7 linked regions of the Cricetulus griseus genome follow. The protein of the gene in region 1 purifies or fractionates together with the protein of each later gene. This does not show direct contact. Links are inferred from orthologs where the notes say so. Each region holds a gene or a part of one and is shown on either strand. Other genes may lie near its edges.

Region 1 (3,660 bases):
AGCAGCCTGATGGGAAGTGGCTGTTTTCCATATCTTGTGTAGAGATGCTGGTCTGCCAGGAACTGTGCTCATGACTTTAGGAAGCAAACTCCCAGGAACCAGATAATGCTAGGCAGTGATAATTCCACAGTAGCAGCTCACAGGAAGCTCTCAGATGACCTGGGCTGACACTGATGGATTAGTAAGCAGCAGGGCAATTGAAAATAAAAGGCCTTTGGAGCCCCAAGGACCGGAAACCAGGATTAACTGGGAGTGAGGAGGGAAAGACTCATTGCCAAGGGTAGAGATGAACCAAAAGCTGAAAATGTGTTTGATCAGGCAGAGGGAGACAAGGTGTCAGATTGTTTCCTTTGGGCTGTAAGGTCTGTGAGGACAGGAATACGTTGGGCTCTTTGTTGCTCTGCTGCCTTTTCTAGAGCCATGCTCCACACACACAGCAGGAGGTGTTTTTGAATTGGTTGAGGTGAAGAGCAGATGGGATTAGTCTGCAGAAGTGTTGTCAGCAAGCTGTGGAAGGAAGACCTTGACATGGGACTTGCCAGGCATCGCTGTTACATCTCCTGTCGGGTGCCCTGGAGACCTGTGGTGGCTCAGGGTTTCCATCCATGTCACATCCTCAGGTGCACCCAACACTGCTGAGCTCAAGATCTGCCGAGTAAACCGGAACTCCGGGAGCTGCCTTGGTGGGGATGAGATCTTCTTGCTGTGTGACAAAGTGCAGAAAGGTACACACTGGGCTATGTGTGCCACGAGGGGCGGGGTGAGGCTGAGAGGGTGATGAGTGCCAGGGACCTCAGTGGCTTCAGGAGAAACAGGGTGACGTCTCAGGGGAAAAGCATCAGGAGTTGGGGACCAAGGTCCATTGGAATTCAGATACTAACCCTTACTACTCTGTCTCCTGCAGAAGACATCGAGGTGTATTTCACTGGACCAGGCTGGGAAGCACGAGGCTCCTTTTCTCAAGCTGATGTGCACCGGCAAGTGGCTATTGTGTTCCGGACTCCTCCATACGCTGACCCCAGCCTGCAGGCTCCTGTGCGTGTCTCCATGCAGCTTCGGCGGCCTTCTGATCGGGAGCTCAGTGAGCCCATGGAGTTCCAGTACCTGCCAGACACAGGTGTGATGCTAGGGAGAGCAGTACCAAGGCTTCTGTACCCCAGCTGGGAAAAAGACCAGGATGTCTGGGACAAGCACATAGGATTTATACATACTGTAGTTCATTGCACATAGTATTTCTGTCAAAGACCACATATGCCATGGTGGTCATATAACACTGCGCTATCTAGCTGGGCAGTGGTGGCTCACCCTTAATCCCAGCTCTCAGAAGGCAGAGGGAAATGAATCTATGAGTTCGAGCCCAGCCTGGTCTATAGAGCTAGCTCCAGAATAGCCAAGGCTACACAGAGAAACTCTGACCTGGGGGAGGGGGGTGAGGAACTACACTGTCTAATGACATAGGTGTCTTAGTTTGTGTAAGTAATCTTTGAGATGCTCATATAAACAAAGAGAGAGAGAGAGAGAGAGAGAGAGAGAGAGAGAGAGAGAGAGAGAAAGAAAACCAGGGCTGGAGAGGTGTCTCAGAGGTTAAGGGCACTCTTTGCTCTTCCAGAGGTCCTGAGTTCAATTCCCAGCACCCACACACATGGTTGCTCACAATCATCTATAGTTGGATCTGGTGCCCTCTTCTGGCATAGGTCCTATGTGCAGATATAGCACTCATATTCATAAAATAAATCTTTAAATTTCAAGAAAAATAAAAAAAAAGGTAAAACCAGCACCTGGGAGGCAGAGGCTAGCAGATGGATCTCTGTGAGTTCTAGGCCAGCCTGGTCTACAAAGTGAGTGCCAGGATAGGCTCCAAAGCTACACAGAGAAACACTGTCTTGAAAAACAAAACAAACCAAACAAAAAAGATGAAAAAGATGCTCATATAATAAGCTGGGTACTCCAGCAAACGTGTGTAGCTAGCGTGCAGATGGTGTGGAAATAGACGGACCTCTAGAGCTATTTGGCCAGCCAGCCTTGCTCCAGATTCAGTGAGAGGTACTGTCTCAAAAAATGAAGTGGGCTGGACATGGCAGTGCACACCTTTAATCCCAGCACTTGGGAGGCAAAGACAGGCAGATCTCTGTGAGTTCAAGGCCAGCCTGGTCTACCTTACAAGTTCCAGACCAGCCAGGGCTATATAGTGAGATCGTATCTCAAATAATTAAGGTGGATGGGGCTGGAAAGATGGCTCAGTGGTTAAGAGCACTTGCTGTTCTTCCAGAGAACCCAGGCTTCATTCCCAGCACCCTGTCTAGTTCCACGGGATCTGACACTATTCTGAACTCTGCAGGCACTGGGCATGTACAAGGTGCTCACACATATAAGCAGGCATTGAGCCTTGGCTTTGACATACTCATACACACATCTGTACACACATGCATGCACATTCATACACCTACATGAACACACACACACAGACACACACACAGAGGTAATAATAAAATGGATATTCATCCAATGACAAATTTGCCTAGCAACATGTCTTAAGATGTGTCCCCATTGTTTTTTTTTTTTGAGGGGGGTGTTTGAGACAGGGTTTCTCTGTGGCTTTGGAGGCTGTCCTGGAACTAGCACTTGTAGACTAGGCTGGTCTCGAACTCAGAGATCCACCTGCCTCTGCCTCCTGAGTGCTGGGATTAGAGGCGTGCGCCACCGCCACCACCACCACTGCCAGGCTGTGCCCCCATTGTCAAGCAACATATAATTATAGTCATAATCTATTTCTTCCCTAACTCTGACATCCAACTTATTCAGCTCTGTCTACTGTATCTACCCTTCCTATGAGTGGTCCTTTTAACCTCTCATCGCCTTTTTTGTTTTTGTTTTTGTTTTTTTTTTTTTTTTTTTTTTTGGTTTTTTGAGACAGTGTTTCTGCTCTGAAGACCAGGCTGGCCTCACAGAGATCCGCCTGCCTCTGCCTCCTGAGTGCTGGGATTAAAGGCCTGTGCCACCAATGCCTGGCGTATCATCACCTTTTTAGGGGAATGATTTAACAGAATTCACTAGCAGTAGAGGCAGTGGCACACCTAAACCAAGGTCACTTAGCTTTGTGGACTTTGTGCCACCTTGTGTCTCTTATCACTTTTGGGGGACCAAAATAGTTCCATTATAGAATGTTTTGAGGTCCAGCCTCTGGTTTCACGGAAAGCTCCGGCCCACTATTGTATTGCTAATGCTAGCAGGTCTGCTATTGTTTACAATAGCCTTAGTATAGAATGCCTCCTAGTTTGCATCTCTATGGGCCTAAGCATCTGAATAGGCCTGCATCTGGGCCTAGGTGCTAGGTGTAAGGTACAAGTGAGGACAGACAGGAGCCATCCGACCAGAGAGGAGAACAGAAGGACAGCAGTGGTCTCCTCGTGGCCATGGAAGCATGGTTAAGAAACAGCCAAAAAGATGGTAAATAGAGAAGAGACTCCAGTTTTACAACATGGAACTGAGAGCTCTCTAAAGATGACAAGATGCCTGTGTTTGGTCTTTATCGAGGCTGGGTTGCTAGGAGTTTCCAGGTCCACACATCCCCACTCAGGCCGAACCTCATGGCTTAAGGCTGAGACATGCCAGGTCACCACAGTCACTAATCCTATAACCCAGCTTCATTTTGCTCAAGGA
Region 2 (4,369 bases), on another chromosome or scaffold:
CTCACTTTACAAAACAGGCCACTATAGTTGTTTCAATGTCAAAAATCTTTTTGCATTTAACTACATAATATTTGCCCCCCCACCCGTGTCCTCGGTATGCAAAAAGCATGAAAGGCATTTTTAAAAGCTTAAACATTTAAGAAAAATGTCAAGACTGTAGTTATTCCTGAAAAATTAAAAATCTGTAGCATTTATTTAGGGCTGCCATGCAAACTCAACTTCAAATGGACTCAGTCAAAACTTGAGTCCTGACAAATCTAGCTTTGGATTTGCCACTGCAACCCACTCAACACATTTTGTCTTCTCTTGTGCCCTCTTCTGGATTCAAAAAACTAGTTTCTCAAAGATTTGGGAGTAATGGGTCATAAAAAGCCATTGAAGCAACAGTACTGTGTGACCAAAACATACATGAAAGACAGATCACCCCCAAACCCTCAACAGTTTCCCTCCTTATTCTTCATCCCAACTTAAGACATATTTTGAGGGGTGTCACTTCCAACGGTTCAGGGTCTGCATCACTGTAAATGATGAGTCCTGTGGGGAATACATAAACCTCATAAAACAAATTTAAAATCTAAAAAGTACCATTATTTGACAACCTTAATACTTCCCCACTTTCTGAAAACCAAAATGCAGTGTTACATAATTCCTAAGTTTTCTAGGCTGCTCTAGATCCTTACAATTAAGCACTTAACTTCTACTGCACCTTACAAAAAAAATCTGATATCCGGCATCTGTCTTCAAAGTTACATTGTCTACAGTAAGTTTTTCACCAGTGACTGCTTGAATGCTTAAATGACATGCTGAGTTTAACATTTTTTCTTCCAAGTATTCCCTTCACTACTCTTCAGTTTATAAACTTTTAATCTGCGAATATATAAATTTTGACATTTATTTCTTAAGTATTTCCTCAAGACTTTTACGTTTAACATGTTAAATAAAATTCAGTTTGGGTAACGACATCGGTTTTAAAATGCAGCAAATGTCTTTCACTTTAATATCACCATAAAGTATTGTCCAAGGTAAGATGGTATTGACCCAACCTCACGGACAAGCCATTTCCAGATAATAGGGGACCCAAACTGTCTCTGTTGTCCATCCAAATCAAGTATTTGACTAATCCCTGCAGCCACTACCCATGCCCAGAAGTTTAGGTGCTGTGTGGAAATCAGATGGAACAAGGTTTAAGAGGTTGTTTTCCCTTCTTTTGGTAGGAAAGGCGCTGCTAGAAAGAAAAAAGGCCTAAGTGAAAGCCGCTGAGGCGGAGTCGTGAGCGAACCTGGCAGGAGATGAGATTCCTGTGGCAGAGAAACTCGTGACCCGGGAGCTTGGTTCCCGCTGGGTACCCCACCCGGCCTCAGGCACCGCCTCTACCGAAAATGAGTCCCCCACCTCGCCCCTCCAAGGCCAGCGGAACGCCGTGGCCGCCGCCCGGGCCTCCTTCCCCCTCAAGCTCCTCTTCTAGGCCGGCTCCCCGCCCGGCCGGGCCGCCCGCGCCTCCCGCCGCACCCGGGAGCGGGAAACGCGGCCGTCGGCGCGCGGGTCCACGGTGCAGGCCGCTCCCCTCGTGGCCGCTTCCCTCCCCCACCCAACCGCCACCAAACCGAGGCGGGGGAGGGGCGGCGGGCGCCGGCCGCCCGCAGTGCGGGGGACCCGGCGATGGCCGCCGAGGGTCCCGGGCCTTCGGTCCCAGAGTGCAGTGTGGCCTTGGGCACCCTTCCCCCCTCCGCTCCTCAGCCGGCCCGAGTCGGTGACAGGAATCGGCTTCCAACATGGCGGACAGGAAGCGGCCCCGCGAGGAGGAGAGAACATTCCAGCCTCGCCGGCTCTGAGAGCGGGCCAGGGGCGCCGGCCTCCGGAGAAGCCTCGAGGAGAGACAGCAGGGTCCGGCGCCCGGAAGGGGCGTTTAGGGGTGAAATGACTCGAGGGGAGAAGGGGTCCCAGCCGCCCCCCCCAGACAGCAAACCCCAGGGCCACAGGTGGGCTTGGGTGGCGGGTGAGGGAGGACGCTTCCTCAACTCAGCCCTCAGCCCGGCTCCTCGCTGCCTGCAAGAGGGTCTCGCGACACCACCCGAGCCGGGATTCACTAGGCCCGCCGGAATTACATACACCTCGAGGGAATTTTTTTTTTTTTTTTTGCGGGCGGCCGAGTTTGATCCCTTCTTAGGGCCCCCCACATTCCGGCAACTCCGGGGCCGTAGAAGAGGAGGGGGGAAAAAAAATAAGGTTGTGGACTTCCAAAGCCGACCGTAGAGAGAGGTCTGCCTCCAGCCGGGGCGGGGGCCGGGGAAGGTCACGCTGGCCTGCTTGGGCCTCTCCCATGCTGAAGGGAAGGAGAGGGCGCTGCAATCCCCACCTCGCGGCCCGCGCCCGGGAAGAATGAAAGGGGGCATCCCAGGCCCCGCGGGACGCACACCCCGGCCGGGTCCGCGCTTTTCACATCTAGCCCCACCCCCATCCCCTCGTCGGCCCCCCAGCCCCAGCCCCCCTTCCCCCACCGCCCTCCCTCCCAGACCTGTTTTCTTCTTCGGCGTTTCCTGGTGCTGCTGAAGGGTGTGTTTCTGCTCATGTTTCAGCGGCTTGGGCTGGGCCTTGGGGCTGCCCTCGGCTCCATGCTGCAGGTACTGGTGAGGCTGCTGGTGATGGTGGTGGTGGTGGTGGTTGTGGCTGTGGTTGTAGAAATAATAATGGTGATGGTGATGCGACGACTGCTGCTGCTGCTGCTGCTGCTGTTGCTGCTGCTGCTGCTGCTGGGGGTGATGGTGCGGATGGTGGTGGCTGTGATGGTGCTGAGGCTGTGGCTGGCCGGGCTTCTCCTCCATTGAAAGCGGCTGGGACTCCCTGGCTGAGGCTGCAGGCTGCTGCACCGTCAGGATCTGAGACTGCTTCTCAGCGCTCGCTCAGTATATCTGAGCGCGTCTCGCCAGCGCACTGGTTAAGCGAGCGGATCTGGAAGATTGGCAGCAGCCCTCCAGCAATCAGGAGCCACGCTGCGCGTCAAGCCCCGCCCCTAGCCCAAATCCTCTTCCCTTCCCCTTCGCCGCCGCCGCCTGGCCAACGCCACTTACCCTATGCAACCTCACAGGGCCGGGCCTTCAACGTCAGCATTATGGCTCTCTCTTCTATCGCTTTCTCTCCTTCACCACGCAGTTAGCGAACAGCACTTTCTACACTCCTCACAGGCAAGCAAGCTGATTTCGAGTGTAGCAGATTCCACGGACGATTACTGGCGCTAGGAGCCATCTGTTGGTTTTGCACCTCCTAGAATCTGTTGGGGTGTGTGTGTGTGTGTGTGGTTTTGGATTCTTTTTTTTTAAATCCTTTTCCGGGTAACCAGAGCAGAGGGGGAAGCTCAATTTCCTTAACCCTTAGGCCACGAAAGGGGCAATACAAAAGAGGAAATAAATTCAATTTTAAGAATACAAAACCTTCACAACTCGATAGATCGTTTTTGTATTCTGGATTCATTTTGCTTTGTATTCATATGCTAATCTCTTCCTTTCCACGGAGGGATTATAGGGTTCCACAATGGGGTATCTGTGTAATTTTCTAAAAGGGCACAAAGGGCTTAAATCATTGTTTCTTTGTAGTTGAAGGCAAGAAAGAGGGATGGATGAAAAATATATACTGAAGGGTTTTTTTGTTTTGTATTGTTTTAATTAAACACTACAGGTAAGGTCAACTATGAAACCAAAATAGGTTTTAGATTAAGAATTTTAAGAGTGAAGGAAGGGAGAAAGTACACCTTTAAAAGTTCTTACGATTTTAATTTTTACATCTTTTTGTTTTGCATTTACAGAAAACATTGCAATTTAAAGATGTATTTGCATTCTATGCAGTTAATTCAACTCATAGTAGGAAGAGGGTTGTGATGACAGACACAGAATATCCTCAAAATATATTTTTGTGGGTCTTGGCAGGAGGGGTTGTTTGCTTGTTTTGGATTGGTTTGTTTTTGAAACAGTCTGTGTAACCCAGATTGACTTGGAACTCCAACTAAGAGATCCCCCTGCCTCTGCCTTCTGAGTGTTGGGATTAAAGTCCTACACCACCACACCAAGCCAATATGCTATTTCTTAAAACTACATTACAAGTACACTTGCTCAAATGAGATATATATTTCTCTATGTAGTATAAAGGAAATTTTAAATGTGCAATTTATCATCCTAACATGTTTTTTTGTTTTTGTTTTGTTTTGTTTTATTTTGAGACAGGGTCTTACTATGTATCCCTGACTGGCCTGGTATTATTCACTATGTAACCCAGGCTGGCTTCTACCTTACAAATACCTTCATTTCAGGCATGTACCATCATACCCAGCTCCTACTTAACCATTTTTAGTACATAGTTCAGGAGTATTAGGACATTC
Region 3 (4,157 bases), on another chromosome or scaffold:
GAGGGTGCTGGTCGGCCAAGACCGCCACAGGCTGGAGGCCAGATGGCATCTACGAAAGCCCTCTGCCACGACCCAGCCCCACTTTTCTGACATCCAGACCGCTATTTTTTACAGCTCATCCCGCGCCCCCGTCCCTTCCAAGGACACTGCAGCACAAGGTGGGACGAAATTCTCAAACAGCGAGCTCAGAAAACACGCTGGAGTCAGTGTTGATACCTCCTCTACACCGGCCTGAGTCAGGCCTCGTACAGCCCCCTCCCCTCCTTGCATTCCTGGGTCCCCTCTTTTTCGTTCCTCCCACCCTGGCCACCTGGCCCACCCGGTACCGGTGGTTTGGTTCTGTCTCCCGCTCCGGTTCTGGCTCGGGTCCCGGTTCCAGGGGCGTCCTCGTCCGGCTCAGGGCCCCCGACGCCCTCCCGGAGCTCATCCCTTGCTTCCTCCCCCTCCCCCCTATGCCGCCTCACCGGCTCCGGGCTGGTGGCTGCGGATACCGGTGCCGCGGCAGACGGGGGGAGGGAAGGATGGCGGAAGATGTGGACCGGTTGGTTGGGAGCCGCGGCAGGCTCCGGACCACTCCTGCCCGGGAAATGGAGGAGATGGGGGAGCGCCTCTGAAACTGTCTTGGGTTCCCAAATGCCTATCGTGTCACGGGCCCGGGACCAAGGGGCGGAGCACAGGTGTGCGGGGCGGAGAGCGTGAGCCTTACGCGTGTGTGAACGCAAGTGAGATGTGCGCGTGACTGCGCCGCCCCCTCCCCCAGGAGGAATGTGCGGCGTGAGTCTGGGTCCTCGTGGGTGGTCGGGAGGTCAGGCGGGGCTCTGGCCACTGGTCTAGCCCTCATGTCTGGCACAGGTCCTGCCCTCACATTCCCCGGATGAGTGGAAAGCCAGCAATCTTCCTAGCGCCTGGGAAAATCTGGCTTTCTACACCTGAGAGAGGCAGGATGCCCAGACCTTCCGAGGTTCCTAGAGAGGGAACGCTGCCCCAAGACCCGTTTGGGGCTAGTGGGTGGACAGAATGACTCGGTTTCCCGAGGATATGACCCTCGTCCAGAAAGAAACGGCCCTTGTGTCCTATGAATAACGCCGCGGGTCCCGCCCAAGCACGGAGTCTCAAGCCTCAGAATCCGGACCGGGACAGCAAGGGAAGGGGCGGAGCTCCCACAAGGGGCGGGACTCCCACTAGGGGCGTGGTCTGGATGTGATCTTGGGAGGCGGGGCCGAGGGCTCTTTTCCGCAGCGGTAGGCTGCGTGCTTGCGCAGCACGCACGGCGGGGGTGGGGCTGGCGGCCGGCGGCGGTCGGGCGGCTGAGGCTCGGGGCCTGGTCCCCCAACATCATGGCCAAGACCGTGGCGTATTTCTACGACCCCGATGTGGGCAACTTCCACTACGGTAGGGCACAGAGTTGTGCGGGAGGAGAGGTTTCCCGGGAAGGGCTGCAACTCTAGGGGTGGGAACTGACCAACTCTTTCCTTCCCTATCCCCAGGAGCTGGGCACCCGATGAAGCCCCATCGCCTGGCGTTGACTCATAGCCTAGTCTTGCATTATGGTCTCTATAAGAAGATGATCGTGAGTCCTGACACTTCTGTGGGGGTTTGGGCCTGGGAGCAAGCTGCGGCCTTAGGCTAGGTGGGCTGGATATACCAGGTGCAACCTGCCGCTAGAGGGGGAGCAGGATAGAAGGCACCGTGAACGTTTCCTATATGCATGGCGGTGGTGGTGGTGGTACTGAGTCGGGGGTGTCCCCTTTCGTAATGGGACATACATTTTTGACCTTAGATGGGACTTCCTTTTAACTTGAGGGGAGACCAGCCTCTGGCCTAGGGTTAGGGCGACAGGCTCATCCCTTCACTTCATTTATTTAAGTGTTAGTGAATAGAATCCAGGGTTTCACACGTTAAGTGAGTACTTTGCCACTGAACTACACCTCTAGCCCCTCTTCTTTGTAGAGGGGATAGTGGTTCAGGACCAAGGATGAGGGTCTATTTTCTAATGACATTTCACCCATAATTCCTTCGCCTTCTCCTCCTCCATTTACCTGAAAGGAGCTAGGACAACTCTGCACTCCTTTGTGGTGTGTATGTGTAGAGAATATGGGAATTTACTTTTTTTGTCGTTGTTATTGTTGTTTTGAGACAGGGTTTCTCTGTAGCCCTGGCTTTCCTGGAACTCACTCTATATAGACCAGGCTGGTCTCTGAACTCAGATCGCCTGCCTCTGCCTCCCCAGTGCTGGGATTAAAGGTGTACACCACCACTGCCTGGCAGGAATTTACTTTTTAATATAGAATGTATCTATATGGTTCTGCTCAACTCTCCCATCTCTCATGTAGCAAGCCTGGCCCTTGTGTACCATGAAGGTATTCAACATGTCATTGGTGTGTTTAGGCGCAGGCAGTGGTTTGGGTGTACAGTAGACTGAGGTGGTATTAGTGCAAGTCTGAATCCCCTAAAATTGTCTGTGTCCATTTATCCGTTTTCTAGGAGAGGAAAAAAAGTGTTTCTTGCCCAATTTTCAAATCATTGTTTGAACTTCCACCTCTACCCCCACCGAGGATAATAAATCTTTGGTTTAGGACTTTGGATTTCAGTTAGATTGTCATATATCTCATGGATTTGATCCCATGGTGAAAAACCCAGAGAAGAGACCAGAACCTGAGTTTAAGAGAGGAGATAAGTATAGAGGGAACCAGGACTGAGGAAGCTAGGAACAGGCATGTGGGCCAGGAGAAGTGGGCTGGGAAGATAGAGACTGGGCTGAAGAGAGGAATTAGACGAAATGATCCTCAGGGGTCTTGATAAAAGTAGCTTGCCTGGCTAATAGCATCTCTTCTTCACTAAGGGATGGGGGTAGGGAGATTGTTATATATGTTTTGGACAGTCTCCATGGCTGGGTTCAGTGTAAGTGGTCTCAGCCTGGGGCTGGCATAGTAATGCCTGGGTTTATTGTTAGGTTTTGCATTCAAACTGGGCCTCCCGGCCCCCGACCCCTTCCTGGAATTCTGGAACCAGTAACAAGACCATGTGTCAAATGAACAGTGAAAGGGACTTTTATTCTTGGTCAAGAATATAAATGAGAGATAAACTTTACAACTCTTAGGAATCAAGAGGTTACAGGTATGGGGGTTAGAGTGATGATTCAGTGGGTCAAGGTACCTGGCTCCAAGCCTGGTGACCTCAGTCTGAACTCTGAAACCCACATGGTGAAAGGAGAGAATTGACATCTAAGTTATCCCTGGCTTCACTGTGGCATGCATACCTACCTACCCCCCTCCCCTGCCGCACCCCAGTGAAATAATGTAAATCAATTTTAATTAAAAAAGAATTTGTATAGAGTGAAAAAGGAGGTAAGAGAAATAGACTGATAAAGAAAAGGATTTTTTTTTTTCCCTGAGACTGGGCAGAAAATTTCTGGGAATTCAGGCACTCTTCTCTCTCTTTTTGCTTTCCAGTTGTTACCATGGCAGTTGTTCCCTGTCATGGAATTGGGAGTATCATTCAGTGTTTTGGTGGGATTATAATTAAGTGAGGTCTTGTCTAGTTGGTCACTCTGGTAGCCTTCTTGGGCTGATCCTGTTTGGCTGGCCTCCCTGAGAGGAATTTCTGCCTTATAGGCATCCTGCCTTCAAGGGTAAGATCAGGGTAGTGTAGAAATTCAGCTAGCATCTAGGCAGTGCTCAAGGTAACAACTTCACTTTTGTCTCCATTCTCCAGGTCTTCAAGCCTTACCAGGCCTCCCAGCATGACATGTGCCGCTTCCATTCTGAGGACTACATCGACTTCCTGCAGAGAGTCAGCCCCACCAATATGCAGGGTTTCACCAAGAGCCTTAATGCCTTCAACGTGGGTGATGACTGGTGAGGGAAGCACCTCGAGGCCAGGCTCTTCAATGAGGCCTTGTGGCAGCAGTAGAAGGAGCCTACTAGTCAATAAATTATCATTCACTCATTTGATTGTTCAGTAAATATGCACGCCTTTGAGCCAGCACTCAGGAGGCAGCAGCAGGCAGATCTCTGAGTTTGAGGCCAGCCTGATCTACAGAGTGAGTTCCAGGACAGTCAGGGCTACACAGAGAAACTCTATCTTGGAAAAACAAACAAACAAACAAACAAACAAAATACTTACTAGGCATTTCCTCTATGTAGGCCATGCCCTGT
Region 4 (4,197 bases), on another chromosome or scaffold:
TCAAATGAGTCATTTGACCAGATTCAAAGGACACGCTGAGGGCTTGAAGTCTAGAGAAAAATGTAAATTAATTAAAAAAGAAAAAGAAAGAAAAGGGGGAGGGGAAGGGGTACAATTAAGATAGTTAAAAAAAATAAAATAGAGAAAAAAGAGTGCAACTTTTTGTTTTCCATGAGAAAGCACTACTGGCATCAGTAGACCGACCATACTTCAACAGGGCAAAGATGGTGTAAGACCTTTCATGGACTTGTAGTTACCAACTGACCACAACCAGTGACTCACAAAACAAATGCAGGTGACAGCTTGGCCACCAAAGGCCTTTCAGTTCCTAACTCAGACCTCAGGTTCTTCCAGATTTCTTTTGAAGATTGTCTTAACTGAATTCTTTATGGTATATTTCTACCAATCTGACCTGGCTCATTTTGATCATATGTAGTACAACTGCATACAAGCTTATATCTGCAGAAGATACAGAAACGCAATATTCTTATATATAAACCAAGTCCACCTGCCCGGGGGTGGGGTGGGTGGGTGGGGTGGGGTGGGGTGGGGTGGGGTGAATAAAAGCTGTTATTGTTCCAACCTCTCTCTGTTATTTCTTCTATGACTTTAAAGGGAGAAGGCAGGCTGGAGTCTGCAGCCCCAGGGCCTGATTACAGCCTGAAGGCTAGATTGTGTGTTAAGGTGGACTAGGAGCCATGGGGGCACAGGAAGGTAGAGCTGCCAAAGTGACGATTGCACAAGGATGCTTGGGAGAAATCAGGGCATGCTGGAACGCTATTATTTTCTTTTATCGATGAGAACTTAGTAGGTACTGTGCTGACCTGACAGATTCTTGAGACCAACAAAGTCTCTGCACTCATTGAGCTTAATAACGGTGCAGGGAGCAAGGTAGCATAAGCATAAACACACACATCACATTCACATGTATCTGTGGAGTGGAAACAAGCATGCTATTTATAACACCGAGGCAGAGCAAGAGAACAGAGTTTGAGGGTGGTTGCTATTTGAGGAGACCCCAAAGAAGCCAAAAGCGCAGAGCACGCGTGGCCGTTCTTTTTCTAATTTTCCAAGCTGTAGGGAGCAAGGTGCGCCCCCAGGAGCCCCGCCTCTCGCTCCCGATAGGCCGCAAGGTGCCATCTCCGGAGATGTCCTGCCCACCACCCCGCCCAGAGGCGGGGCTTCGAGCCCGCGCTCAGAAAGCGCCGCGCCGAAAGCGCGCGCCCAGCCCTCCCGGCATGCTTCTCGTCCTCTCATGGCGTGGCTCAGACCAGCGCCTGGCATGCTGGGAACTGTAGTTTCCGCCCGCCGCCCCGCGTCAGGGGTGGTGGTAAAAGCTGCTAGGTCGGGCTCCATTTCTAGCACATGACTAGCGGCGGTCGGGAGGCTCTACGGTGGGGTGAGGGCAGGGTCACCGCGACAGCCAGCAGGCCAGCGCCCCGGCCTCTCCCGGCGCGCGCCGCTCCTCAGCGCCGCCCCCGCGCCGCGGCCACCTCGCGCTCCGGGCGTCACGGAGCGCGCGCTCCTCCCCCTCCGTCCCCTCCCGCTCGACTCGCCGCCGCCCCGCCGCCGCCGCCGCAGGAGCAGCCGCCGCCGGAGCCGCGCGCAGCCATGGCCGAGAACCCCGGCTTGGAGAACCACCGCATCAAGAGCTTCAAGAACAAGGGCCGCGATGTGGAGGCGAGTGTGCTCCGAGTCTGGCCGGGCCGGGCGGCCGGGAGAGGAGGGGAGGGGAGGGGCGGGGGCCCGTGGCCGCTGGCTCTCGCCGGCTGGCGGTCAGTCCGGAGTTGGCCGCCGCCTCGGGGGGCGCCGCGGCCCGGGCTGCAGCCGCCTCCTGAGCGGCCAACGCGGGCACCGGGGACCGCTGGGCGCTCGGCGCCGCCGCGCGGGCGCGGCCTGCTGTCGGAGGGGAAGGGATGTGGAGCCGAGGCGGGGTCCGCGGGCCGCGCGGGAGGACGGACCGGGATGCTGCCGCCCCGCGTGCCGACCGCACCGCTGGGGCCCGGCCGGCGCTCGCGTCCTCAGCCGGTGCAGCCTCCCGCGCTGCTGCACATGGAGCCTCAGTCCCCGCGCCTACCTTGTGCGAGCCGGGCCCAGGCGGGCGGTGGCAGCCCTTAGAGGGGGGTGGGGACCAGCCGGGTAACTGACTTGTTTGAGGGTGGTGGATGGGGGAGGGTAGGATGCGCCAAGACCATTTTCTTATATTCCAGTGCTGTCCTTTGGACCAGTCTTCCCGAGCTGTTGCAGCTCATAACCCCTGTGACTGCTGGCATTTGGAGCGAGCTAAAGGTGGACAATAGTTTACCATCCATTGTGTTGAAGCTTTGGGAAGGAGATTATGCAGACCTCTGATCTTGGGTTTTTTCTTTCTTTCTTTCTTTTTTTAAAAAAAGCTCATCTTGGAGTGGGAGCGTGAATAGTAGGAAAACAATTTCTTTGACCTGTTTTGCCGAAATAAATTGCATACATAGATTCCTACGTCCTTGTGTATACCACATGCCACCAGGCTGGTAGATTTTCCAAGTGGTTGCAAAACTGTAAACATTCATTGTGGTCACTCAGTTCGCTGCTACTCAGCATGTTGCCATTGTCTCATTAAGGTGACATTAGCAGCTACTATTTGCAAACTCTGCTTATTGAGGTAGCGCTAGAGGTCTCTCTGCTCCTACTAAAACCAATGAAGTGTAATAGCACAAACTTCACTGGAACTCGACCTCTGAATTTGAGGGGGGAAGGAGTTTTAAGCCTATACCCTCTTTTCTATTCTAATAGTAGGTGATGGTTTGTATAGTCCTGTAATTTTTGGTAAGAGGCTAGTAAATACAGAGTTTGGTTTAGTAGAGAAGCAGGTGAAGCTGGGACATTTCTCAGAGCTACAAAATTAGGTATGAATTGGGAAAAACCTGGGGGAATATCTGTGGAATTCCCATTTGAGTGAGACTACAGGTCCTTTATCTCTATCCTGATCACATCTAAGTTTCCTTTTGGAGAAGTACTTCCAAACAAAAGTGAAAGCTAACAACTGGAACAGCCATCAGTCTCTATTTTTTAATAAGACTTGGTTTTTATCTTTTCTTCACCAGTAGTTTTTCTGTGTGTGTGTGTGTGTGTGAGTGTTACACCAGTAGTCTCTGTTGCTTTTTGTTGTTGTTGTTGTTGTTTGTTTCCTTTTTGAGACAGGACCTCATTGCAGAGCAGTCTGGTCAAACACACAAAATAATTCTCCTGCCTCAGTCTCCCAAGTGCTGGGATTACAGGCATGGGCTACCACACCCAGTTCCACAAGTAATTTTTCTTGAGGCTATCTTTTATTACTGTAAGCAAAACTGCATAGTTTGTGTGGATGTATTGCTCCTATTGCTTGTACATTCTTTACTTTTCTGGATGTTGGTGTAAGTTTTAGTCACAATTCACTTCTAGTATGGTGTCCTATTTGTTTAATGATACCTAATAAGGACTTTTTCATGGAATAGATCCACAGCAGGTACTTGCATGAAAAGAACAGTATAGTTGCCAAGCCATTGATTTTGTTCACAACATTACATTTTAAGGACATGTTAGGATAACTAAGACATGAAACAACAGGCATTCAGATGGTAGTTCTTTGTGTCAGACACTATGTTGTACCAAAAGTTTGCTACCTCATTTAATCCTTACTAGTTAGGTGTGACATTGTCTTTACTTTATCAGGGAAAAAAGTACTTTGACACAGAATGTCAGCATCCATGTAATGTGCTGGTCATGTCTGAGCATTCATTTTCTAAATGACTATTAGGTGCCTATAATGCTCAGCCTTCTTCATACAAAAGGACCTAAGATTCAGTTTGGCTTGAGCTTATAGTCAGTGTGTGAGAAAAACCTACACTGGATCAGGAGTGTTGACTTCCAAACAGCAGTGAGATCTGTTGATTCCTAATAGATGAATGGGGATGAACTGATCCTGAAGAGTCAGAGAAGTCTGGGCGCACATTCAGTAATTCCAGCACTTGGAACTGGGAGGCAGAGTGTTAGGAGGTCAAGGTCATCTTGGGCTACATGATACCCTACCTAAAAAATAAGTGAATGAAGGGTTGTAGTTGGGGAAGGGTAAGGGCCGGAGAAGGTGGGAGGCATTTGGAATTTTATTAAGTATTAATTGAAAAGTCCCAGTTTATGCAGTCAGCTGGTAAACAAGGAAAATAAGAAGGCAACCTTACT
Region 5 (3,660 bases), on another chromosome or scaffold:
TTGTGAGCAGTCAACATCTTTCCAGCTCCCATGCCTAGGTTTTTTTCTCCCTATGATGCCCAGTGTTTTTTTCTTTGTTTTTCTCAGAGATCTATGCTTGCTCTGTCATATATTCTCAGCCCTCCTCACATTTTTGGGGGGGAAAGGAAGGGAGAGGAGGTTTTCATTAAGTTGCCCATGTTATCTTCTGATCTCTCTGGCACCCCAAATACATGCAGTACACTCATACACATAAATGAATTAAAAATACTCTCATCAGATTGCTTGTAGACAAGTATGTAGGCCATTTTCTTGACAGGAGGACCCAGCACACTGGGGGATGGGTCTCTCCTGGATAGGTGGTCCTAGATAGTCTACCAGAATAAGCAAGCCTTGGAGATTAAGCCAATCCTGTCTCTCGGTTCTTGTATCAAGTTCCTGGCCTGATTTCCCTCATTATGGAGTATGATCTAAGAGTTGTAAGATAAGATAAACCCAGTTCCAGGACACCCTACAAAGCTATAGAGAAACCTTGTCTCGAAAATCTCAAAGAAAGGGCTGGAGAGATGGCTCAGAGGTTGAGAGCGCCAACTGCTCTTCCAGAGGTCCTGAGTTCAATTCCCAGCAACCACATGGTAGTTCTCAACCATTGGTTATGAGATCTGGTGTCCTCTTCTGGTGTGCAGATACACATGGAAGCAGAATGTTGTATACATAATAAATAAAATCTTTAAAAAAACAAAAGAATAAAAGAAACCCCCCCCCCAAAAAAATGAAATAAATCCTTTGCTTCCCAAGTTGTTTTTTTTGTCATGGTACTTATCACAGCAAGATGACAGATAAGAAACCAGAATCCCAAGTAGAATTTTTGGAAATATATGGAAACTAGCCTTCAGACTGGTAGAATGCTTGCCTACTATGTGGAGGCCCTTGGCTCAGTTCCTAGAATGGTGATTTGTTTTACAGTTACTGACATTTTAATTTCATCATGCTTTAGTAATTCCCAAGGTTTTAACTTTTAGGTCATGGCTTTACCTACACTTCTTTACTTTGAAGAAAATAAAAAGATATAACATTTATAGTTGTTTCAGAAATGGATGCTAGAGGTAACAGCTCAGTTTGCCCAAGACTGTCATTAAACTGCCTCTGGTTTCCTAGTTATTTTCATCACAGGAAGGCCAATCTTTAATTTATCTCATTGCTTAACTAGTACCATATTTTAAGATTAAACTGTTCTTTTCTAAAACTGTTATTAAAAGGGATGGGGAACAAATTCCAATATGTTGATGTCATGTTGACTTTTTTATTTGACATGGGTCTTACTCTTTAGCCAAGGTTAGTCTGGACCTACTATGTAAACTTAAACCTGTAATCACTTGGGAGTCCCTCAGGTACTTACTTGGGAGGTTGATTCAGAAGCCTAGGAGTTCAAGGACAACCTGGGCAAAGCAAGACCTTATGTCAGATTATAAAAAGAGATCTTGATGCAGTGGTGCCATATTGGCTAGTGAGATGGCTCAGCAGATAAAGGCATTCGCATCAAGGCTGATTGATAGCCTGAGATTGATTATTAGAACCCATGTGGTGGAAGAGAACTGATTTCTAAATGATGACCTCTGGCTTGGACAAGCATACTACACACACCACTCATGGAAGAAAGAACTGTAATTAAAAGTTGGTACTGTGAATGTAATATCAGTGATGTTTCTATAGCTGTTCTATCCTGTCCACTGCCACCTTTCTCCTTTTCTTTTTATTTCAGGTGATCATGGAGCTCAACTTGGCCTCCATGGATCTGGTGGTGATGGGATGCATGATGAGACAGCAGGTGGAGAAGAAGGAGAGAACAGCCCTGATCCCCAACCCCAAGCTGGTAGGAGGACTCGGCGGGAAGCATGTACATGCCCCTATTGTAAAGACAGTGAAGGAAGGTGAGTTCATTCTCTTGAATATGGAGTTTGTTTTGTTTTTGAATGTAAATAAATTAAAAATGGACTTAGAAATAAGAGGGAAAGGGCATATATATATATATATAATATTATAATATATACATATATACATATATACATATATACATACATACATACATACATATATATATATTCAAGACACAGGGAACTGGGCCTGGTGGCGCATGCTTTTAGTTCTAGCAGCACTTGGGAGGCAGAGGCAGGCCTGGTCTACAAAGTGAGTTCTGGGACAGCCAGAGCTTTACACAGACAAACCCTGTCTTTAAGAAAAAAAGCAGGTGTGTGTGTGTGTGGTTGTGGGTGTGGGTGGGTGTGGGTGGGTGTGGCGGGTAGTAGCTCCGCCGTTAAAGAGTAGGCTCACAACCAAAAAAAAAAGGAACGAAGAAACCCAAAACAACCCCCCCAACAAAAAAAACAAACAAACATTGGAGGGCTGGGTGTGTAGCTCAGTTGGTAAAGGGCTTACCTAGCATTTATGGAGTCCTGAGTTTGAATCACAGCACTTAATAAAGCAGTGTGGTCACACATGCCTGTAATTGCATGTTGTCTGGAGATGCAACACATACATGTATCTACTTAACCCCAGAGTGTATTGTATAGAGAGTGTATAAAGTGAGGGTTTTGACACCAGGTGCATTAAGTGCAGACATGACCTCTCCAAGGTATGGTTGAGGGGAAGGTTTTTATTGTAGACATGAGGAGAGTACAGTCAAAGTCCAGAGCGGAGAGAGAAAGTAGTAGACTAAACATGGCCAATAGATTGGACCCAGCCATGAGAGAGAAGCGGGGAAGAGAGTGGGAAAGGAAGATAAAATGTGAGAGGCAAGAGAGTGCATATTGGAAATGACAGGGTTATATGGGAGCGAGAAGCTTGGGAGGAAAGTGATCTGGAGAAGTATAGGGGTAGTGGTGGGGTAAGAAGAGCCAGGATGGACTCTGTAACAGGTATTTGCTATGCTGAGAGAACCTGGAGGCTAGCATGTGCTTTGATGTGCTAATGGGCATCACAGTTAGCCATTTGGACCTAAAAAGGATCCCATGACAGACCAAAGTATGGTAGCATCAAAGCCCAACTTGGTGAACCAGTGAGTTTTATTGGGATTAGTTAAAGGAATATGGGGTGAGGGGCTACTTACAGAAAAGGAGTAGAAGGCTGAGCATTGGTGGTGCATACCTTTAATCCTAGTACTCGGGAGGCAGAGGCAGGTGGATCTCTGTGAGTTTAAGACCAGCCTGGTCTATAAGAGCTAGTTCCAGGACAGCCTCCAAAGCAGTACAGAGAAACCCTGTCTCAAACCTCCCACCCCCACAAAAAAAAGAAAGAAAGAAAAGAAAAGGAGCAGAAGTGACTCAAAGACGTCTGAATCACCAAAGCCTACTCCAGCATAGATGAGTTTACAAAAGCTGAAGAACTGGAGCATGCAGGCAGCCAGTATCCCTTCTGTCCAGATCAGTTGGTCTAAGCCCCTTCAAGGCAGCTCTCTGGGCTCTTGAGAGTCTTCTCCTTGCAACTTGGCTTGTCTGAGAGTAACTCATGGCTGGCTGGCTTTATCTTTTACTCTTGGAAGGGACCTAGTGAATCTGATCAGTTTCAGGGGCTTCCTGAAACTGTTTTGAGTTGTTCATCCTCTGTTTTATGGGAGATAGTGTGTTTTAACCCCAGAGTATATTGCTACACAACATCCTTGCACTTGGGAGGTGAAATCAGAAA
Region 6 (4,397 bases), about 160 Mb from region 1:
GTGTTAGACCTTGTCTCAAAAAACAAAAACAAGTAAGTACAAATTCAAGTGCTATGAGAAGAGAGATTGGTAGAATTTATTGTGTCTGGAAATAAGATTTAATTTTGAGAAAGGGGTTTTAGGTATAGCCTGGGGGTGACCACGGATTGGATTTCCTATCCTCCTGTCTCAGCCTCCTAAATACTGGGATTACAAAGTGAGATCACCATACCTGCGTTGAGGATAAGATTTTAAATGAACTTTAAAGAATTGGCACAGTTGGAAGAGGCTGGGAAGAAAAAGTTTATTCAAAGGTAAAATCCCTAGCCACTGTATCTTCTTCACTATAGGAAAGGCAATTAAATAACAAAAGACAGGGGCTGGAGAGATAGCTTAGCAATTGGGAGGTCCTGAGTTCAATTCCCAGAAATTACAAGGTGACTCACAACCTTCAGTAATGAGATCTGGTGCCTTCTTCTGACCTGCAGGCATATATGCAAACAGAACACTGTATACATAATAAATAAATCTTTAAAAAAATAACAAAGGTGAGTATCCCTCATTCAAATTTGTATTTCTTTTCTTTCTTTTCTTTTTTTTTTTTTTTTCTTTTTTTTTTTTTTGAGACTGGGTTTCTCGATCCTGCCTCTACCTCCACCTGCCTCCTGAGTGCTGGGATTAAAGGCGTGCACCACCAACGCCCGGCATCATTTAGATTCTTGTAGTATCTAAAGCTTGTATTTCAAAGAAGTTTAGCTATATTTAGCTCAGCCAGGCGTTGGTGGCTCACGCCTTTAATCCTTTGCAAGACTGAGGCAGGCGGCTCTCTACAGAGCAAGTTCTAGGACAGGCTCCAAAACAATACAGAGAAACCCTGTTTCCAACAACAACAACAACAAAAAGGAGAAAAGTAAATATTTACGTCTTTGAATTTGTCCGAGGGTAAAAACAACAGCTAGAGCTGGGTGTAGTAGCATACACTTTTAATCCCAACACTCCAGAGGCAGAGGCTGGCGGATCTCTGAGTTTGAGTCCAGCTTGGTTTACAGAGTGAGTTCCAGTACAAGCTCCAAAGTTACATAGAGAAACCCTAGGCAGGAGTGGTGGCTTAATGGCGAGGTTGAGATGGAAGATTGCTAGTTCAATGCCAGCTCAAGCTGTAAAAGGAGTGCCAGGCCTGCAAGAGTCACCTAGCTAGATCCAGTCTCAAAAACCACAAAACCACATACAAATAAAACAAAGAGAAACCCTCTCCCTGTTGTAATTTGGATATCAATAGTCCCCAAATTTGGTGGGTACTGCACCCATTGAGCTCAGGGAACTGCGATGGCCTCATTGACAAGTATGCAGGGCGATGAATTACTTTGACAATTGATTGCAAGGGCTTCGCGATTCTCGAAGCGTGGCTCCCTGCGCTTGCCGTAACCTGGACTGGACCATTGCATCCTGCGGGTGTGTGAGTGCAAGAGGCTGGGAGAGCAGAGCGGAGGGCGTGTGTCGGGCAAAGCCCGGAGCCCTGGAGGACGACTGGCTCCCCGATCCAGCCACCTGTCCGTCCTACTCCCCTGACCCCGTCCTGTCCCGCGGCAGCGGCCTTGTCTGTACGGCTCCCTCGGGAGCAGGTGAGTGGCGGCGCCTTGCTCCGGGCACCCCCGTGGCCCCGGGGCGGTGGCGGTGGCCGGCCGGGGAGGCGGCCTCGGCGCACAGTAATGGCAGCGCTGTGAGCCGGGGAACGCGAGCTGACAGCCGCCGCCGCCCACCCTCAGAGCCGGGGGCTTCGTCCTTCACGCCTGCGGGTTGCCTCCCTCCCCGGGCCCCTGCCCCTGCCCTCGCCCTGCTTCCGCAGAAGGTAACCCCGCTGAGAGCTGGGGAGCCCGGCTGTGGGCGCAGGGAAACTTCCCTTCCCGGCGAATGGGTGGCGGGGATGGGGCGGAGGAACGGAGTTAGGGGCGACCTGGCGGAGGGGAGCGGGCTGAGAGCTGGAGGCCCGGCAAGATGGTGTCCTGTGAGTGACCTCGGTCCCTCGACTGCTGACCCTTAAGCCAGGCAACCCTTGGATCGGATCCCGGGCCTCCCCGATCCGCTGCCGGCCGCCCCTCCCTCGGCCTCATTTTCCTCCTAAGGAGGGAAGGTGAAAGTGTGCTCTCCCGCTTATTTACGTGAGCACACGGAGACCACAGTCTCTGTGGAAGGGGGTGGCATCAATCTCATAGATCCTAGCCACGAGTATTTTCACTTTTGTTTCCGCAGATAGTGAAGATTGATAGCTTTGGGGAGGAGTAGTCTACGTGCATGCTGCACCTCCTGCCTCAACACTCATGGGCTGGTGAAATAAGAGCCTCAGACTCTCTCCAGCACTTGTTTTTGTACTAGAGTCTAGACCCTTCCCTACCATTACGGTGCATGCAAGTAGAACATCTTTGAATTTCTATTGTTATTATAAGTTACCCCATGTCCTCCTTGGTTACTATTACTGGCTGGATGGTAGTGCCCTCTTAAGTTTCTATTTGAAGATAAGTTGGAGATATAGCTCAATGCTTCAGCATTTGTCTGGCATGCAAGAAGCCCTGGGTTCAACTCCAGCACCGCCTTCTGGAAAAAATTCCTGGTGTGTGTGTGTGTGTGTGTGTGTGTGTGTGTGTGTGTGTGTGTGTGTTTCCTTACTGATTTCAATAGAAAAGATACTTGCCCCAGAACTTATCTCAAACCCACATTCAAATACAGTATGAGAGATCACTTTATTCTCTTTCATCACGTGTCATTCCACGACATAAAAGTGATTTGATTAGCTGACCTTTGGCTCTTAATGCCTATATACAGTATTTGGAAGTCCCTTCCCAAAGAGTCACAAATGAATTTTAAGAATAGTGCACAGTTTTGTTTTAATTACTTTCCCTTCCCTCATGTTATTTATGAGTTGTGGGACTGTTTTGGTGATTTGGGGGGGGGTGTTGTTTTTTGTTTTCTTAATTGCTTTGTTTTTTTGAGACAGAGTCTCTCTATAATGTAGCCCCAGCTGTATGGGACTCACTGTGTAGATCAGAGTGACCTTACTGCCTCTGCAGTGCTGGGATTAAAAACATGTGCTATCACACCCAATTGTCTTTTGAGGGTTTTGTTGTATAGCCCTGACTGGTCTGGAACTCACTGTATAGCTCAGCTAACCTCACATTCCCGGAAATCCTACCTCACCAGACCCTGCTTTCTTTTACCAGGGTGTGAATGTGTAAGATTGTGTACCCATGTCTTTTCAACTTTCACCCTCAGTAATTGAGCCCCAAGTGTATGAACCTTTAAAGTTAGTTTTCCAGTGGGAAGAGCTGGTCCCTTTGCTAAGCTGCTTTTCAGGAATTAGGGATATGACTCTGAACTCTGCTTTCTTCAGAGTTCTGCCTGAGATGGAGAGACATAGTAGATAAACAAATAGGATATTGCTCCGAAGGAAAATAAGGAATTGTAGTAATTGGGAAAAGTTGTTTCAGATTGTATGTTAGGAAAGGCCTGTCTGAGGTGACATTTGACATATTTGATAAAACAGAAACTTTCTGAAGAAATGCAAATGGAAAAGCCCCAAGGTGGAGTGAAATTAGAAGTTCAATGAAGGTAGACCCTGTAAGAGAGGTTGAGCTAGAGTTTGGTTTTTAAAACATTTTAAGTTTTGGGAGTTTTATGTTCTATAGGTTGGAGAGTAGATGTCAAAAGTCACCCCCACCCAGGGTCAGAGTTGTATTCTTGGACCACTAAAAGACAAGTAACAAGGTTTCCAGCTATGTTGAAGGTACTTGTTGAACCTGTAATAGTTTGGATAAGAGTGTAGTTGGAGCCCGTTGGCGTTGATGGTGCACGCCTTTAATCCCAGCACTCGAGGTAGAGGCAGGCAGATCTCTGTGAGTTCGAGGCCAGCCTGGTCTCCAGAGCTAGTGCCAGGATAGGCAACAAAGCTAAACTGAAACCCTGTCTCGTAAAACCAAAAAAAAAAAAAAAAAAAAAAAAAAAACAGAAAGAAAGAAGAAAAGAGTGAAGTTGGAGATAGGTGTCTCTTGGGTTTTAGAGCTCTATTGGATGAGGGGTACCATCTACAGGGATGGGGAGAGAAACGTGAGTTTATATAAAATGGGTTTGTATTGGATGTCTTGAGTTGAGTCAGTTAGACAATTGTAAAATTTAGTTAGAAAGTTAAGCAGTCATACAGTTCATTCATTGATTTGAGGAGTGTTTTATGGACCCATCAACTGGGATAATGAGAGATAAGACAGATCTCTGCCTTCATGAAACATGGGGAAAGATGGGTAGAGTTTATCAGTCTTTAACTGGTGGTCCATTGAATAATACTTAGATTCAAAATTGGAAATGTTCAGTAGGGCATAAAATTAAAACCCTCTTGTTTCCCTACAGCCAAACAATGTTAACTTTCTTAC
Region 7 (4,088 bases), about 210 Mb from region 1:
AGCCTCCTGCTGTTATAGCTCAGAGGGATGTGCTCAGAAATTCAAATCCGTTTCCATACTTTCCAAGTACAGCATATTTCAAGACAGATCTACCACCCCAAATATCACACAAATTAAAGCTAATGGGATGGTCTGGAGATTTCCCACACTGCTGCTCGTCTTCACTGCTGCTCAATATAGACGACTCATTGTGCATACGAATAAACCTCTGCCCTTTGTCCAAAGCTAGTGCCAGTGATGTCACTGTTGCTAGTATCAGGCCTGCAGGATGCACTGTGCCTTCTGCCTATTACAGATAGAATTTACATGGCACACAGTAGGTGGGATGGCAACATGAGTATTTCCTGATAGTTACCCAGGAATGACTTTTCCTATGTTCATGGTGTGTGTGTGTAATTGTTTGTGTTTCCTGTGTTTGCTTCACTTTCTTAGGCATTGGATGTGTTTATCGGGCTTATGTCAGAGGTTTTATGTTTTATTTCACTTTGTGTAGATGTGGATGCACAAGATTGGCATTGAAACAAAAATTTAATCAAATAGTCAAACACTAAGGGCATTTGCAAAATAGATAAAGAAGTAAAAAACCATCTGTTTCATTTACAGACGCTCTTATCTCTAGGAAAACACTTCCTGAAAACCTGTCCTTAATACTTCGCCTTAAGACTCTGTGCTTGGGAAGCTGGGCATGATGGGGCATGGCCCCCAATCCCAAGATTTGTGAGCCTGAGTCATGTGGTTACTGAGTTCAATGTCAGCTTGGGCTATGTGGAAAGTTTTGGGGCCAGCCTAGGCTATATAGTGAGACTGTCTCAAGCAAGCAAGCAAGCAAACAAGCAAGCAAGCAAGCAAACAAAACAAGTTAGCAACAGCAAGAAGATTCTTAGGCGTGTTTGTGAGCACTGTGGAAGGTACTTGGCTGTTTTCTACTGTGAATAAGCCCCACTTTTCAAAGAGGCCAAAATTTGGTGCTTATTTCAGAGAGATAATCTGTCCTAGCTAGGGTAGACACCGTTGTAGAGCATGTGGCCCTGAGGTGAATGTCAGTGTACTTCACACACATTCGGGACTTAATTCCTTCTTAGGGTGTTTGTGGACTGAAGCATGGACATGACACCTTTCTGTCGCAGGGCTGGAAAGGTGAAATTGGACGGGATTTAATCTGCTAGGTCTATTGCTTCCTGGTCCTTAGAGCTCAGAGAATGCCACGAAGCAGTTCTCAGAACACCTTTTCGGTGAACTGTTTGCTCTATTACAATTTCTGTTTTTTTCTTTGCAGATCCTGCAGGTGGCCTTTTAAAATATGCACCAGAGACACAGAGTACCACGCAGGAGCTGAAAATGTTCCAAAGACTTCTGGGTTCTCTCTCCACTTTTCCCGTCTTTTCAACCCCCTTGCCTGACTTGGATGATGCGATGTTCTGAGGAATTCCTTAATCCTAGTCACTCCTCAGTCAGGCACATCTACGAAAGATTGCATCCGTAATTTAAGATGGCCAGCCAGCCACCAGAAGAGCCTGTGGAGACTCAGGTCTCAGATGAGCTAGAGTGCAAGATCTGTTACAATCGGTACAACCTGAAACAGAGGAAGCCCAAGGTTCTGGAGTGTTGTCACAGAGTTTGTGCCAAATGCCTCTATAAGATCATAGACTTTGGGGACTCTCCCCAGGGTGTCATCGTCTGTCCTTTCTGTAGGTTTGAGACGTGCCTGCCGGATGATGAAGTTAGCAGCCTGCCTGATGACAATAACATCCTTGTAAACTTGACTTGTGGAAGCAAAGGGAAGAAATGCCTGCCTGAGAATCCCACGGAGCTGCTGCTCACCCCGAAGCGGCTGGCTTCCCTGGTCAGTCCTTCCCACACATCCTCCAACTGCTTGGTTATCACCATCATGGAGGTGCAGAGGGAGAGTTCCCCATCTCTCACCTCTACACCTGTGGTAGAATTTTACAGGCCGGCAAGTTTCGACTCTGTCACCACAGTGTCCCACAACTGGACGGTGTGGAACTGCACCTCCCTACTCTTTCAGACGTCCATCCGGGTGTTAGTGTGGCTTCTAGGCTTGCTATACTTCAGCTCCTTGCCCTTAGGGATCTATTTACTGGTGTCTAAGAAAGTCACCCTTGGGGTAGTCTTTGTTAGCCTCGTTCCCTCTAGCCTTGTCATCCTTATGGTGTATGGTTTTTGCCAATGTGTTTGTCATGAATTTCTGGACTGTATGGCACTTCCTTCTTAACCAATATGCAAAATAGGAAATTTGGCACTTACGGCTACATTCAAATGATGTACGTACAATTTGCTTTCTTTTGTATTCTCTATGATTAGTGTCTACAGCCTCAACAAAGCCCTTGGCCATATGTCTGTGGTCCATTTTCTGTCCAGATGTTGGCTTGATGGGTTTTCTTGGATTCTGAACATTTTCTAAAAAGTTCATTTCTACATAGGGGTTAACCAAGAAAGCAAGGCTGTGTGCATAGCTTTTAGGGAGCTCTGACAATTGTGAGATGTCCATGAGCAAAGGTGTGGGCACAGGCAAGGTGTGTTATACCGTGGCAGGGTATTTGTGAAGAGGTAGGGATAAATGGAGTCCTCCTTCAAGTTAGGGGTATTTCATGATAATAGGTGGATGTCACAGGCAGGTTGCTCCAAAACACATAGGTATGCACCCAATTTTCTTAGCACTGGAGCCCCTAATCATCTTCAGGTGCTTTCTCTCTTAAGGCAATGCTTCTCTGAGGTCTGCTACCTGCCCTCAGATCCATTTCTCTTCTGTGCGGTGCTCCCTGACCCAGAGTCCTGCAATATCATCCCCTTGGGTGGTTCCTGCAGAATTTCCTGTTTGGGCATGTTGCTAGAGAAGAGGGACGACTTTGAGAAGTTTGCAAGGAAGTAGACCTCACGCCAGGGCATGGCCATTTATCCTTACCACAGGCCTTTTCCTTCATGTGCGGTTTTTCTCCCAGGCTTCCCAGAGAAGATCTGAGCAGTTTTGGCATGTGGAAATATTCACTGGAGTAATTCCTTATAGCATTTTAGGTTTGTTTGATTTCTAACCACATTCTTCAATCAGCCCATGCCTTATCCTGAACAAAGTTCCATTTAAATTAGTTGCTATCAGTTTATGAAGGTTTCATTTTCTTCCCCTTGTTTTAGAAATTTGCTTAGGTCTGATTTGGCTGACTCCTGCAACACTCTGGGGGAACCTGTGATGGTGAAAACCCAGCAACAGGTCGCCAGTTGCTCTAGTCCTAGGCACTGAGAACCCACGTTCTGTTGAATGGTACCAGACTGCAGTGGCTTGGGTTTATGTCCTATGGAAGTCCAGGCAAAAGAAAGGGTGAAGCCATGCCGAGTTGATGCCCTGCTTGGAGAGACAAGTCAAGGGAGTGAAGTGGAGGTGGCCAGGTATGGCTCACTTGCGGCTGTTCAGTCAGTTTGGGGATAGATTCAAGTCCTTCAGTGTATTTTCTGTAAAAGCATAAGTAAGCTACATGGCCTGAGTATGCACCCTGCTTCATGAAATGGGGTGGGGGGCATTGAATGTATATATTTGTGGGAGTAAGTTGTCTAGCAAGTTTTAGATGGGGAATAGAATGTTCACAGAAACTAGGCAAAAAGAGGGAAGAAAGCTTCTTAGTCTGAAACTCATTGCTGATACTTAACAATAAAATACCCGTAATGCTTAGTGAAGGGCTTTACCAAGACTCCGTTAACTTGTTTGTGGTGAAACATTTGTAGTGTGAAATAGTTACAGGGGACCAGTTCCAAACTCCATATTAAGGAAAACATGGATGCTTACCTAGAATAGGAGTTTTATTTTAGTTGTGTAACTACTGACTTTGAGAACATGTATGCCCAAGGTACATATACTGAGAAAGTATATGTGGGATGTGGTCCAATGAAATTTAACCCCCAACTTAGAGCTAAATGCAGTTATGATTCCAGAAACCCTAGTTTTAGGTAGTATTGTGGATGCGGTTTCCAGAATTCCATTTGTACTTTGAGTAAATACAATATTTAAGAGGTTTTGTGGTTTGGATTTATATATTTATAAGGTTTCTTTTTTAAAAGATGCTCATTTTGTGTGAATT

Evidence for each region.
Region 2: the proteins of Rela (region 1) and nuclear fragile X mental retardation-interacting protein 2 purify together in Homo sapiens (affinity purification with mass spectrometry; 3 studies listed by BioGRID and IntAct, counting the BioPlex papers as one, with this or other methods). This does not show direct contact. The link is inferred for Cricetulus griseus from reciprocal best matches to the Homo sapiens genes RELA and NUFIP2.
Region 3: the proteins of Rela (region 1) and Hdac3 purify together in Homo sapiens (affinity purification with western blotting; 3 studies listed by BioGRID and IntAct, with this or other methods). This does not show direct contact. The link is inferred for Cricetulus griseus from reciprocal best matches to the Homo sapiens genes RELA and HDAC3.
Region 4: the proteins of Rela (region 1) and Kpna3 purify together in Homo sapiens (affinity purification with mass spectrometry; 4 studies listed by BioGRID and IntAct, with this or other methods). This does not show direct contact. The link is inferred for Cricetulus griseus from reciprocal best matches to the Homo sapiens genes RELA and KPNA3.
Region 5: the proteins of Rela (region 1) and Sp1 purify together in Homo sapiens (affinity purification with western blotting; 7 studies listed by BioGRID and IntAct, with this or other methods). This does not show direct contact. The link is inferred for Cricetulus griseus from reciprocal best matches to the Homo sapiens genes RELA and SP1.
Region 6: the proteins of Rela (region 1) and Cul2 purify together in Homo sapiens (affinity purification with western blotting; 3 studies listed by BioGRID and IntAct, with this or other methods). This does not show direct contact. The link is inferred for Cricetulus griseus from reciprocal best matches to the Homo sapiens genes RELA and CUL2.
Region 7: the proteins of Rela (region 1) and Rnf182 purify together in Homo sapiens (affinity purification with western blotting; 3 studies listed by BioGRID). This does not show direct contact. The link is inferred for Cricetulus griseus from reciprocal best matches to the Homo sapiens genes RELA and RNF182.

The regions. Positions count from the first base shown.
Region 1 is NC_048596.1:53,704,310-53,707,969, reverse strand, and holds part of Rela (transcription factor p65), read left to right. Parts: intron 1-620; coding exon 621-725; intron 726-904; coding exon 905-1,117; intron 1,118-3,660. UniProt on the Homo sapiens protein: NF-kappa-B is a pleiotropic transcription factor present in almost all cell types and is the endpoint of a series of signal transduction events that are initiated by a vast array of stimuli related to many biological processes such as inflammation, immunity, differentiation, cell growth, tumorigenesis and apoptosis.
Region 2 is NC_048600.1:91,081,647-91,086,015, reverse strand, and holds the start of nuclear fragile X mental retardation-interacting protein 2, read right to left. Parts: upstream 2,918-4,369; 5' UTR 2,823-2,917; coding exon 2,516-2,822; intron 1-2,515. UniProt on the Homo sapiens protein: Binds RNA.
Region 3 is NC_048595.1:199,688,421-199,692,577, forward strand, and holds the start of Hdac3 (histone deacetylase 3), read left to right. Parts: upstream 1-1,231; 5' UTR 1,232-1,337; coding exon 1,338-1,392; intron 1,393-1,487; coding exon 1,488-1,570; intron 1,571-3,714; coding exon 3,715-3,857; intron 3,858-4,157. UniProt on the Homo sapiens protein: Histone deacetylase that catalyzes the deacetylation of lysine residues on the N-terminal part of the core histones (H2A, H2B, H3 and H4), and some other non-histone substrates.
Region 4 is NW_023276807.1:216,452,662-216,456,858, reverse strand, and holds the start of Kpna3 (importin subunit alpha-4), read left to right. Parts: upstream 1-1,317; 5' UTR 1,318-1,365; coding exon 1,366-1,680; intron 1,681-4,197. UniProt on the Homo sapiens protein: Functions in nuclear protein import as an adapter protein for nuclear receptor KPNB1. Binds specifically and directly to substrates containing either a simple or bipartite NLS motif.
Region 5 is NC_048595.1:398,798,555-398,802,214, forward strand, and holds part of Sp1 (transcription factor Sp1), read left to right. Parts: intron 1-1,741; coding exon 1,742-1,910; intron 1,911-3,660. UniProt on the Homo sapiens protein: Transcription factor that can activate or repress transcription in response to physiological and pathological stimuli.
Region 6 is NC_048596.1:210,684,948-210,689,344, reverse strand, and holds the start of Cul2 (cullin-2), read left to right. Parts: upstream 1-1,445; 5' UTR 1,446-1,601; intron 1,602-1,664; exon of another isoform or gene 1,665-1,828; intron 1,829-2,229; exon of another isoform or gene 2,230-2,384; intron 2,385-4,397.
Region 7 is NC_048596.1:263,371,377-263,375,464, forward strand, and holds the start of Rnf182 (E3 ubiquitin-protein ligase RNF182), read left to right. Parts: upstream 1-1,285; 5' UTR 1,286-1,489; coding exon 1,490-2,233; 3' UTR 2,234-4,088. UniProt on the Homo sapiens protein: E3 ubiquitin-protein ligase that mediates the ubiquitination of ATP6V0C and targets it to degradation via the ubiquitin-proteasome pathway.